3 linked regions of the Oryza sativa Japonica Group genome follow. The protein of the gene in region 2 interacts with the protein of the main gene of each other region in a pairwise test. Links are inferred from orthologs where the notes say so. Each region holds a gene or a part of one and is shown on either strand. Other genes may lie near its edges. The genes, in order: cBL-interacting protein kinase 24, calcineurin B-like protein 1 and CBL-interacting protein kinase 5.

What was found.
Region 1: the proteins of calcineurin B-like protein 1 (region 2) and cBL-interacting protein kinase 24 interact in binary tests that used the Arabidopsis thaliana proteins (3 or more experiments, as listed by UniProt). The link is inferred for Oryza sativa Japonica Group from reciprocal best matches to the Arabidopsis thaliana genes CBL9 and SOS2.
Region 3: the proteins of calcineurin B-like protein 1 (region 2) and CBL-interacting protein kinase 5 interact in binary tests that used the Arabidopsis thaliana proteins (3 or more experiments, as listed by UniProt). The link is inferred for Oryza sativa Japonica Group from reciprocal best matches to the Arabidopsis thaliana genes CBL9 and CIPK20.

Annotation. Positions count from the first base shown.
Region 1 is NC_089040.1:24,903,947-24,908,047, reverse strand, and holds the start of cBL-interacting protein kinase 24, read left to right. Parts: upstream 1-1,296; 5' UTR 1,297-1,397; coding exon 1,398-1,583; intron 1,584-2,697; coding exon 2,698-2,760; intron 2,761-2,880; coding exon 2,881-2,952; intron 2,953-3,210; coding exon 3,211-3,318; intron 3,319-3,411; coding exon 3,412-3,486; intron 3,487-3,570; coding exon 3,571-3,624; intron 3,625-4,101. UniProt on the Arabidopsis thaliana protein: Involved in the regulatory pathway for the control of intracellular Na(+) and K(+) homeostasis and salt tolerance.
Region 2 is NC_089044.1:22,989,635-22,993,872, reverse strand, and holds the start of calcineurin B-like protein 1, read right to left. Parts: upstream 2,857-4,238; 5' UTR 2,607-2,856; coding exon 2,528-2,606; intron 2,388-2,527; coding exon 2,305-2,387; intron 1-2,304. Other genes in the region: serine/threonine-protein kinase SAPK3, read left to right, coding at 4,219-4,238. UniProt on the Arabidopsis thaliana protein: Acts as a calcium sensor involved in abscisic acid (ABA) signaling and stress-induced ABA biosynthesis pathways. Contributes to the regulation of early stress-related CBF/DREB transcription factors.
Region 3 is NC_089035.1:5,818,517-5,822,300, reverse strand, and holds CBL-interacting protein kinase 5, read left to right. Parts: upstream 1-1,213; 5' UTR 1,214-1,543; coding exon 1,544-2,929; 3' UTR 2,930-3,170; downstream 3,171-3,784. UniProt on the Arabidopsis thaliana protein: CIPK serine-threonine protein kinases interact with CBL proteins. Binding of a CBL protein to the regulatory NAF domain of CIPK protein lead to the activation of the kinase in a calcium-dependent manner.

The sequences.
Region 1 (4,101 bases), on a different chromosome or scaffold from region 2:
ATAATTTTGCGATATATCATTTTCAATCTATAGTTTCTGATAGTTTAAATGGAGTTCACTAAAATTTATTAAAAACCATGAGTAAATTTTATAAAACTACATATATTTTAAATTTTAAATTTGTAGATTTTAAATTTTAAAAGTATACTGTAAAATTTATTATAAACCATGAGTAAATTTTATAAAACTACAAACCTACATATTTAATAACAAATTTCGCAAAACAATAGAATTAAAATAAAGTATAACAAAATTCCCTTGTGGTGAAACCAGTCTATCCGGGTTTAAGTTTTAGACTTAACATGGGTGCTCGTATTTACAGCTAATTATTTTTTTAGTGGTAAGTGATGTACTCATCGACAGCAAGATGTCTATGGACTTCATCAATCTCAAGATATACTGGTCCAGTCCTCCGAAGATGCTTATAGAGGTAGGGTATGTGTGTATGTGTTTATAGACGTGAGTGTGTGTGCGTTATGGGCACCTGGATTTATACTACGCTTCTCAAAAAAATAAATTATAACAAAATTGCAGATTTAGTAACAAAATTATTATAAAACTACAACATTTTATAATTTGGAGATAAAATTAGTGCTAAGAGTTTCAACTTTGAAATCTGTAGTTTTGTAATAGCACATAATTCTATGATACTCCGCATTAAATGTTTTGTGAAAAAAATAATCTTAATTTTATGATATGACGTTTTATTCTGTACTATCTCCGTCCCATAATAATTGTATTTCTAAGATTTACATGTGTCACAAAATAATTATCATAATAGAGTACTAATTGTCTCATAATCACTTCTCATTTAAATTTATTTCTATTTTACCCTTAATTGTCCTTCTATTCTTACCTATACACCATTTAATGAGGGGTATCGTAATCTCAAATCTTAATATATGCTAATCAAAACCATATATCGAAACCATTTATTATGTTAAATGTCGATTACTCCCTCTGGTTCTATAATAATTGATGTTTTAGATAAGATTGAAGTCAAACTTTTATAACTTTGACTATCCATAACTTTAAAAGTATTTAGTTTAAAAAACAAGAACAACATATATAAAAGTATTTAGTTTAAAAGAACAAGAATAACATATATAGATTTGTCTTTCAAAACACTAAACATTCATTTATTTATTACATATATTATAATAGAAAAATAAGGTCAAATATATGTTTTTTAGATCGTGTGATTATCAAAATATTAATTAAAATAAAATCGGAGGGAGTATTATAGAACGGAGGGGGTGGAAGCCCATAAATAGGCAAGCAGTCAACCAGATGGTCGGTATTCAGGCAGCGAAGCCCCCCCAAAGCCGAGCTCGCGCGCGGCGGCGTCGTCGTCTTCCTCCTCTTCCCCCCGAGTTGGATTCGTGGCCGCGCGGCGGATGGGAGGGGAGGAGGGAATGGCGGCGGGGAGGAAGAAGCGGGTGGGGAGGTACGAGGTTGGGCGGACCATCGGGCAGGGGACGTTCGCCAAGGTCAAGTTCGCCGTGGACGCCGACACCGGCGCCGCCGTCGCCATGAAGGTGCTCGACAAGGACACCATCCTCAACCACCGCATGCTCCACCAGGTAATTCCCCCGCTTCTCCTTTCCCGCTACCCTCCACATCCGCCCCCGCCAGTGCACGAGTCCAAATCAAACTCCTCGCACTCCCCCCTTTGCTTTGATCCGGGCGATTCTTTTTACACTTTTTTTTATTTGGGTGCTCTCCGCTGCTGCTTTGCTGTTTGCCAAATGGTGAGCAGCCGCGCATCGACGAGGGCGGATGGAGAATTTCCGAATATACCTCGACAGCAATGCGCACCACTGGTTAATTCGTGCGAGTTGCGCGCAGCTCTTGCCGTTTGATGATTAAGAATAAGGAATTAACTGGAGAGCCTTAAATTTCTTGTTCTCCCAAAGGGGAAAATACCTTTTTTTTAAAAAAAAAAAAGAAAAGAAAGAAAAACTTAATTCGAGCGGTTTGTTTGGTGTTTCATCTCGTTTGGGCTGACAGAAGCTCAGTTGCAGAATTGAAATGGTTGGGTGTTGAAAGTGATTTTACCAAAATTTGGTCTGTTGTAGCTTAATTCGATTTGCGGTGTTTGCAGAAATGCTACAAATAGTTGGTTCATATGGTTATCCAACGACATCTTTTGAGGATGCATCTTGTTGCAAAGTGCTCAAGTTCTCTAATTATAGTGGTGTAAATCTTTTCCTAAGCTTCCTGATTTGCTAGTTGCTATGGAACTTGGTTTCTCTCCAATTGTGTTTGCAATTGCAAGTATATATTTGGTTTGTTTAATATAACTGTTCTATAATCCTAAGCCTACTGCTATGCCATGAAGCTTGGTTTCTCTCCAATTGTGTTTGCAATTGCAAGTATATATTTGGTTTGTTTAATATAACTGTTCTACAATCCTAAGCCTACTGCTTTGCCATGAAGCTTAGTTTCTCCCCAATTGTGTTTGCAATTTCATGTGTATAAATTTGGTTTGTTTAGTTTAACTGTTCTGCAAATCAATGATGACCACCAGTTTTACCTGATTTTGCTGTGAGCACCCATTTCAGATTTCCAGTTTATGCGAGATGTACTTTCTTTGTGTTGTTTATGCAATATCGCTAATCATGATAACAAAAAAAAGGACTAAACCATTCTAATTCGGCATTAGATTACGAACTCACTTCTCATGTTACTTGACAGATCAAAAGGGAGATATCAATAATGAAGATTGTAAGACACCCCAATATAGTTAGACTAAACGAGGTATGCTAAATATTTACTTGCCATCTGTCCTATATAACTTTTCATTATTAACAAAACTCCTATGTTGGCTATCTTAACTTCCTGTGTCACTACTTTGTTACCATTACTATGATTTTGTAGGTTCTAGCTGGAAAGACGAAGATATACATAATCTTGGAGCTTATCACTGGAGGCGAATTGTTCGATAAAATAGTAAGGAGTCTATTATATACACTACCGAAATAACGATGAGCTGCTGTTCTACTTGAACTAAAAAAATATAAGAATTGTGCCAATCTGGCAGTGTCTCCATATGTAAATTCTTTTTATCACCCATATATACCAGAAACTTTCTGTTCAGTAAATTATAGGCCCATTATATAATCCCAATAGGCAATATAAAGAAAGGAACATTTTTTTATTATTGTGCATTTTCTTAAAATATGAACCTATGCGATCAAATATCTGTAGGCTCGCCAAGGGAAGCTTCGTGAAAATGAAGCAAGGAAGTACTTCCAGCAGCTTATTGATGCCATCAATTATTGCCATAGCAAAGGAGTATATCATAGAGATTTGAAGGTCCGTTACTGATAAGAGACACTTGGCTATCATTTGTCCTATTCACTAGGTGCAATATCTCATGCTTACCCTTTTTTTGGGCATGTTATGTAGCCTGAAAACCTGCTTCTTGACTCACGTGGAAACTTGAAAGTTTCTGATTTTGGACTTAGCACTTTGGCCCAGAAAGTAAGCTCAGTAATTGCTTTTAATGATGCTGTATTTCTATCCTAGAAGTGTTCTGATTGGGATTTCTTTTTTGAGGGATTTCAGGGAGTAGGCCTTCTTCACACAACTTGTGGAACACCAAATTATGTTGCTCCTGAGGTATGATGCTCTCTCTCTCTCTATCTCTCAATGCATGGTAAATTGAACTGTACGAAATGTTTTTTTTTTGGCAAGGAGCTAATTGATTAGCTACACTACATGCAAGAAATATGTCTGCAAAATTAGACGAGTTACTCGGGATGCAATTCAATTTTCCTAGATTTTCTTTATAGATCATATTTGTATGTATGATACAAATGTCTGTTAGACTAGAAAGAGATTACCTATTTCTTTGTTTCTCTACCTGTCTCGCAGTTATTTGGTTGGTTAGTTCTCTTCAGGGTTCTAAACCTCATTTTTATGCATATTTCTGCCATCATCACTAAATAAATATCTCTAGCTGTCTTATTTCACCATGTTCAAGCTATTGTGATTTTAATTGTCTGAACTAGTTCATAAAATTGTGATATGGGCATTTCAAGCCATTTCCTTAGACAAGATTAGGGGCATTTTTTTAGTACATATATGATATGCGCT
Region 2 (4,238 bases):
CAGATGAGTGATCTGGGGCCTCTCTCCTTCTACCTGGGGATCGAAGTGCACCAGGACAACTCCGGGATCACGCTTCGACAGACCGCCTACGCCAAGCGCGTCGTTGAGCTGGCTGGGCTCACCGATTGCAACCCAGCTCTCACTCCGATGGAGGAGAGACTGAAGCTGAGCCGCGACAGCACAGCGGAGGAGGTGGATGCTACACAGTACCGACGTCTTGTGGGGAGCCTTCGCTACCTCACCCACACACGGCCGGACTTGGCCTTCTCCGTCGGCTACGTCAGTCGGTTCATGCAGCGACCGACGACGGAGCACCAGCAGGCTGTGAAGAGGATCATCCGCTACGTTGCGGGGACTCTCGACCACGGTCTCTACTACCCGAGGTGTCCTGGCAAGGCACACTTCGTCGGGTACAGCGACAGCGACCACGCCGGCGACATCGACACCAGCAAGAGCACGAGCGGGATTCTCTTCTTCCTCGGCGAGTGCCTCGTTAGCTGGCAGTCAATCAAGCAGCAGGTGGTGGCCCTGTCCAGCTGCGAGGCCGAGTACATGGCGGCATCCGCCGCTTCGACCCAGGCGCTCTGGCTTGCTCGACTGCTTAGTGATCTCCTCGGCAGAGATACTGGAGCGGTGGAGCTCAGGGTGGATAGCAAGTCCGCTCTGGCCCTGGCAAAAAACCCCGTTTTTCACGAACGGAGCAAGCACATCCGAGTGAGGTACCATTTCATCCGAAGCTACTTGGAGGAAGGGAGCATCAAGGCGAGCTACATCAACACCAAGGACCAGCTTGCGGATTTGCTCACCAAACCCCTTGGGAGGATCAAGTTCCTTGAGCTTTGCTCCCGGATCGGGATGGCTCAACTCTCCCACAAGACGGCGCACAAGACTTAGGGGGAGAATGTAGGAATAAGTCTTGGCTGGTTGGTCTTGGTCTTGTGGTGCCTTTTTTCCTGTTTTTCAGCTTTCTAGGACAGCATCTCTACTTTCAGTTTGGATGCTCTAGGACAGTTAGGACAGCAGTTTGTTGAGATGCTCTAGGACAGTTTGTTGGGATGCTCTGCTCTAGGACAGTTTGTTGGGATGCTGACAGCACCCTCTTAGACTAGCATGGCTGCATGGCTGCTACAAGCAGCTATAAATATGTATCCAATCCTCTTTGGGAGGATATGGCTTTTGTGTTTAGTGAATGAAGAAAACCAGAAAATTGCCCCATCTCGAGTGCCATCCTCTTCTCAATGAGAGTAACCATTGAAATTCTAACAGCAATTACACTATTATTGTGTTGTAGTTACGGCATATTTTTGGGGGGATTTTATGTCGAACGTTAGATAGGTAGTCCCTAATTTCATACCGTGAATTTAGCTACTGATGACGTCAAGATTATAGTTCATGAGAACTAGCAGATGTGCATGAACCTGTATGGCTTCTCAGATAGCAGTTAATGAACTTCTTCGCCACGCAAGACGCAACAAGAAGATGCAAAAAACAAAAGTGAAGATGCAAGAGAAACGCATTATGTCTAGCTTTATAGCACGGCAAATCAATATTGACAAGGCAGGAAGAAAGTGACTCAAACTTTGAACTATCATTGTGTTGTTATACTGTGATAGTAGCCAGATGGTTTATATCAGGAACAAGTTTTTTCCTATTAAACTTTGAGGAAAAAAATCACATTTTGATACACAGAAAATTCAACAATTTAGAAGGCAAACACATAATACAATGAGCGGTACAAGAGGAATAAAGGATCGGGGTGTGTACAACAAAGATTCATGCTCACTTCAAAGATGAATGAATAGAACTGCCAGCATAGCAAAACGATTCACAGAAAATGGCATCCACCACATAATTTGTGCAGCTGAAACCTGAAAGACGGAACAGTGAGAAAGGCGTGGGGGTCTTCTGGCTAGCACCACAAGTTGTGGGCTAGCCGACCCAGGTTCGAGCCTCACTCCCCTCTTAATAAATTCCGATATGAGAGCACCTCCTCTCATATCCAGCGAAAGACGGAACAGTACATGGAGATATATTCAAATGTGGCAAGGTTTAATTTTGTCATTCCACAACAAGCTACAAAAGCAGATAGTAAATGTATCAGGATGCTCATAATCACACATGACATGATGCCAATATGGTGATGAAAGACGGAACAGTAGATATATTCGAATGCGGCAAGGTCTAATTTTGTAATTCCACAACAAGCTATAAAAGCAGATTAGTAAATGTATCAGGATGCTCATAATCACACATGCCATGATGCCAATATGGTGAGATACCCCCAAGAAACAGTTAGATGTTCACCTTATTGATGAGCCCATCGTCGATCACAGAACCACTAATGCTCTTGAACAGCTCGAACAAAGCCTCCACCTCACTTACGCTAACTACACATCCAAAACAACTAACTCAGAATTTCCAGTACGCCCATCGATTGCATAAATCAGATGAACTACTTGATGAAATGAAATGAAATACAGTACTGTAGAGTACTCCTCAAGTGGCAAGTACAGCAACAACAACTCACAGGCGGTCTCGGAGGCGAGGCCGACGGGGTCCTCGTACCCCGGGCGCGGACGCCTCGCCGTCGACTGGAAGCACCCCATCCCCACGCGCACCCCGCCCAGACCCGACCCACCGGAGTAGCCGAGCACACACACCCCCTCTACCGCCGCCGCGGCCGATCTCGCATCACCCACCCCTCCACCTACCCTTACACACCCACCACCACACGCCGGCGCACTCCCCCGGCGGCGCGCGCGCGGCGGCGGCGGCGGATCGGAGCGCGGAGCACGGGAGGAGGTCGGGGTTGGGGGCGGGGGGGTTTGGTGCGCGACGCGTCGGGGTCGGAGGGGTGTCGAGACGAGACGGGCTATGCCTCCTCCTAGTCCTACTACCTACGCGATAGGTGGGCCCCGAGTCCGTTGCGCCTCGCTTTCCCCCGACTTCTTTTGGGAAAGAAGACCCGCACCGCGCCCACGTGCGCGCGGCCCTTGCGGACTTGCGGCCCATGGATTGGAAGAAGCGAAGAAGGGAGGACCTCGTCGTCGTCGTCCATTCCCATTTTGGTCAGCTGGGAATATTCGCAGATTTTTTTTTCCGAACGCGCAAAACAATTAAGTCAATATATTAAAAAAAAATATTTGTTTACATAACGCAATCAGACAGACTGGCTTATGCCAAGAAAAAGAAGAAAAGACAAAAAAAAACCAAGAAAAAGAAAATGACTATTACGACGGCTAAGCGCAACTCCAATCAGCGAGAAGGGGCAGAGCCACACGGAATATTAGCAGATCATACGATTTCGCAAAGAAATTGCAAGCCAACTTGCGCTAATCTTACCTCTCGGTCACATGCAACAATTCCAGCACTAATGTGTCATGGTTTACCTCAGCCACGCGCAATAATTAGAGTAATCTAATAGTACTACTACCACAGTAGTGAACCACGACCAGGCAGATTGTTTATGTCACATCGAAGAAATTCAACATTGTTCCAAATCTTCGATGGAAGATTCTCGAGCGGATGCTTCGAATTGATAGTAGTCCCATGGTTTGCTTGGCTCATAATCATCTTTTTTTTTTGAACGACTGCTCATAACCATTTGAAATCCCTACGAAACTAGCAAGAAAACCAAGTTAACCAACGTCTTTGCTAACGATTACTAGCTAAAACTGATTAATCAATTAATTTATCGTGCAGCCCATGGTTTGCACTTTAGAAAACCGGCCCAGCATCTTTGGAAAAGAAAAGCCCAGCTCCATGTTTCTGGACACCGCCCTCTTCTGAGCGTGGGCCTCCATATAATACGTACATGGAGCCACGTGGCAACCCGGAGCGACGAAACGGCCACGTCGTATTCACAGGACACGCCACCTAATCCACGGGCCCCACTCCTACCCCGCCCGCCGATTAGCTGAGCTGACGCGTGGGGCCCACGTGACAAGCGACGGCACTCGTGGGGGCCACGTGTCGCGCACCTCGCCGTCGCCGTCGCTGCTTCGCTTCGGCTTCAAGTCCGACCAAGAGACCCTCGTCGCTTTCCGGTGACGGCGACGAAGAGAATTTCATATCCCTCCACCTCGCCGCCTCCCTTCTTCGGATTTGGTCTGGTTTGGTTGGAGGTTAGCTCGCCTCTGATTGGGTTGGTTGGGTGGTCGGCTTCGGTCTCGAACCGCGGCGACTTCTCCTCTTTGGGTTTGGGTTTCGAGGGGGCCAATGGAGGAGAGGTACGAGGC
Region 3 (3,784 bases), on a different chromosome or scaffold from region 2:
AAGTCACATGCAGATGAGTATCTGGCTCCCTGTAAATTAGTCATGCAAATAGCCTGTGCTCTTGATATAAGTGGATTTAGCATTGCTTGAACTGTGGCCTTTGGCAAGCCAGCAAGCTGTGACATATTCTATGGCTAAAACTTGTTAATTATTTACTTAATTCATCTACCTATTTCTGAAGGTAATGAAGGGTCTCATGTACACGATAATCGTGTTCAGAGAACGCCAGAATGGGACGGATTGGAAGCTAGCTAAATATCTGAAGGTGACTAGTAGAAAGCTGCATTTTCTGAATTCATCTGTGCCAATTTACAGCCAACCAAATGTCCCATTTTCGCTCACCGCGTGTATCCTGCGAGAACCTTGACGTTTGTGGCAAACTGGCAACCTAACCGTGAGGCCTGCCTTGGCTCGTACACCCTGACGAGTTCTTCTCACAAAAAATGAAAAAAAAAGTTTCGAATTCAGCACAGTGCATGATTGGTTTCAAATATGTACTCCCCCGTCCACGTTACAAGATGTCTTGGCATCTCTATCTTTCGTGTTAGATTCATTAACATCTATATGAATTTAGATACATATGTAAAGTATATACGTAGATCCATATATAAATCTATTCAAAATCCAAAACATATTATAATATGAAACAAATGAAATATAAATCTATTCAAAATCCAAAATATATTATAATATGAAACAGATAAAGTAACTTTGATAGACACAATATAATACAAATACACTGACAAAACTGAGTGAGCAAGGTTTGGTATTAGTCATGTGCACATAACACTAGAGTTAGGTTAAGGTCTTTAATGACAGCCAAACTCTGCAGAACTTTTTTTTTTGTTTCAAGAGGATGAAGAAACATATCTTGACACATGCAGCTCTTAAAAGAAAATCTAAAAGTAACATGCAGGGTGATGCCATGTTATTAGGTTTGCCACATGCAGCTGAATGATACGGTGCCTGCAGCTGCACCCAGAACACGCTATCAATTGCCACAAGTAGATCGTAGAGATAACGCCTCATCCATTTCATATCTGAAAGAAACCAATGATAGATGCAATTCAATCACCGTTCACATAATTCATTTTGCAGATCCCCATCATGAAAGACACATGTATTAACTACATAGAGGATGTAAAGGTGTAACATGGATGAATTTAGAGCGCACCACTGATCCTACAAATAGCATGCAAAACTACAGCCGCTCAACACAAACACCTGGCCTATTTTTAGGCATCCTCTTCCATCTCCAGAGAAGTGAGCCCCAGCCTCATGTCACAAGGGAAGCACTAGCCACCATAGAACTCTCTCTCTTTTTCTCCTTCCTCCTAGGAGGATCCCAAATACACCAATCGTGTCTTGGATTTTCCCAAACACAGCGCGCACTCTCGCCCTTCACCTCTCCTCCCTCTCACCCTTCCATTACATGGATCAGGGAGGGAGGAAGGAGGCCTGAAGTGGCGCAGAGTAGGCGCTTGTAAACAAATCCCCCCATTTGCTTCTTTTGCACTGAAGAATCCCTGAAGAATCCAGCAGGATGGAGAAGAAGGCGTCCATCCTCATGAACCGGTATGAGCTCGGCCGCATGCTCGGGCAAGGCACCTTCGCCAAGGTGTACCATGCACGGAACCTTGCATCCAACCAGAGCGTCGCCATCAAGGTCATTGACAAGGAAAAGGTATTGCGTGTCGGCATGATTGACCAGATCAAGCGAGAGATCTCCATCATGCGCCTCGTTCGCCACCCCAACATCGTCCAGCTGCACGAGGTCATGGCCAGCAAGAGCAAGATATACTTTGCAATGGAGTATGTCCGGGGTGGTGAGCTCTTCAGCAGGGTAGCCAGGGGGCGACTCAAGGAGGATGCTGCGAGGAAGTACTTCCAGCAGTTGATAGGGGCTGTGGACTTCTGTCACAGCCGCGGTGTCTACCACCGAGACCTCAAGCCAGAGAACCTCCTCGTCGACGAGAATGGCAACCTCAAAGTGTCGGACTTTGGGCTGAGCGCCTTCAAGGAGTGTCAGAAGCAGGACGGGCTGCTCCACACGACGTGTGGCACACCTGCATATGTTGCACCAGAGATAATCAATAAGAGGGGCTATGATGGAGCAAAAGCAGACATATGGTCTTGCGGTGTCATACTCTTTGTTCTGCTTGCTGGCTACCTCCCATTCCATGACTCAAATCTAATGGAGATGTACCGGAAGATAAGCAAAGGTGATGTCAAGTTCCCACAGTGGTTCACTACTGATGTCCGAAGGCTTCTGTCCAGGCTGCTTGATCCAAATCCAAACATTAGGATCACCGTTGAGAAGCTAGTTGAGCATCCATGGTTCAAGAAGGGGTACAAACCAGCAGTGATGCTATCACAGCCAAATGAATCAAACAACCTCAAGGATGTCCATACTGCTTTCAGTGCTGATCACAAGGACAATGAAGGCAAGGCAAAAGAACCAGCAAGCTCTTTGAAGCCAGTGAGCTTGAATGCATTTGACATCATCTCCCTCTCCAAAGGATTTGATCTGTCAGGCCTGTTTGAGAACGACAAAGAGCAGAAGGCAGACTCACGGTTCATGACACAAAAACCAGCATCAGCAATAGTGTCAAAGCTAGAGCAGATTGCTGAGACAGAGAGCTTCAAGGTGAAGAAGCAGGATGGACTGGTGAAGCTCCAGGGATCCAAAGAAGGGAGGAAAGGGCAGCTCGCGATCGATGCAGAGATCTTTGAAGTGACACCATCCTTCTTTGTTGTTGAGGTGAAGAAGTCTGCAGGGGACACGTTGGAGTACGAAAAATTCTGCAACAAGGGCCTAAGACCTTCTCTCAGGGACATCTGCTGGGATGGTCAGTCAGAGCATCCATCACTGGCACAGTCATCAACTCTGACTCAGTCCTCTAAGTCAATCTCGAGACATGCCATTTAAGTGCAACCTCATAAGAGATGCAGTAACAATCCATTTTCCTCTCTCCTTTTCCCTTTCATCAAAGTGCTGAGCCTGAGAGTATTCTCACTTGAGCATCAGGCTTAGGGCTCTTTGATGATAATTTTTGCCAGTTTTCCTTGTATAGTAGCAGTTTGTCTACATGGATCTCCTGTTCTTTCACCAATAGAAACAGGGAGATTGACAACAGCATTCTTTTAGTTTTTATTTGTTGCTTTGGGACAAACATACCATCACCTGCAGAAAACAGCATTTAGGAAATTGAAACTTAATAGGGTAAAGAAATCCATTAATGACAGTAAAGAAATCTGTTAATGACAAGAATGAAATGGTAACTGACATGGGAAAATTGTCAGAGAGGACAAAATGAAGGATAAGTAAGACCCACCAAAGCATTCCAGGATGTCATCTTGTGAGTTGAGCACTTCCTAGTCGTTTTGATGTTCAAAATGGAATACTGACATATGAAAGAAAGAAAGAAAAAATATTGATGTGTAGAAAAGAATATTCCGAGGATGCTGGACTAATTATCTGGCTTTAACAATTACATGTTACTTCAGAATTCAGTAGAACCAAGATTAAACAAGAAAAGGATATAAAATGGTGCAATTTACCAAGTTGTTCACCTAAAATAAACAAAACCACTTAAGCTGACAAGATTATTTCCATTATCCTCTGAAATTCACCATAACTGCTGAAAGAATATACTAAAGCAAGGATCTGAAAGTTTCTTCCATCATGTGATTGATGCATAGTTAGATAAATTATGGAACCCTTACATATCAAGAACTCCCAGTTGCCTGAAAATTCAAGCCCTGTCATCATGGAATATGGTAA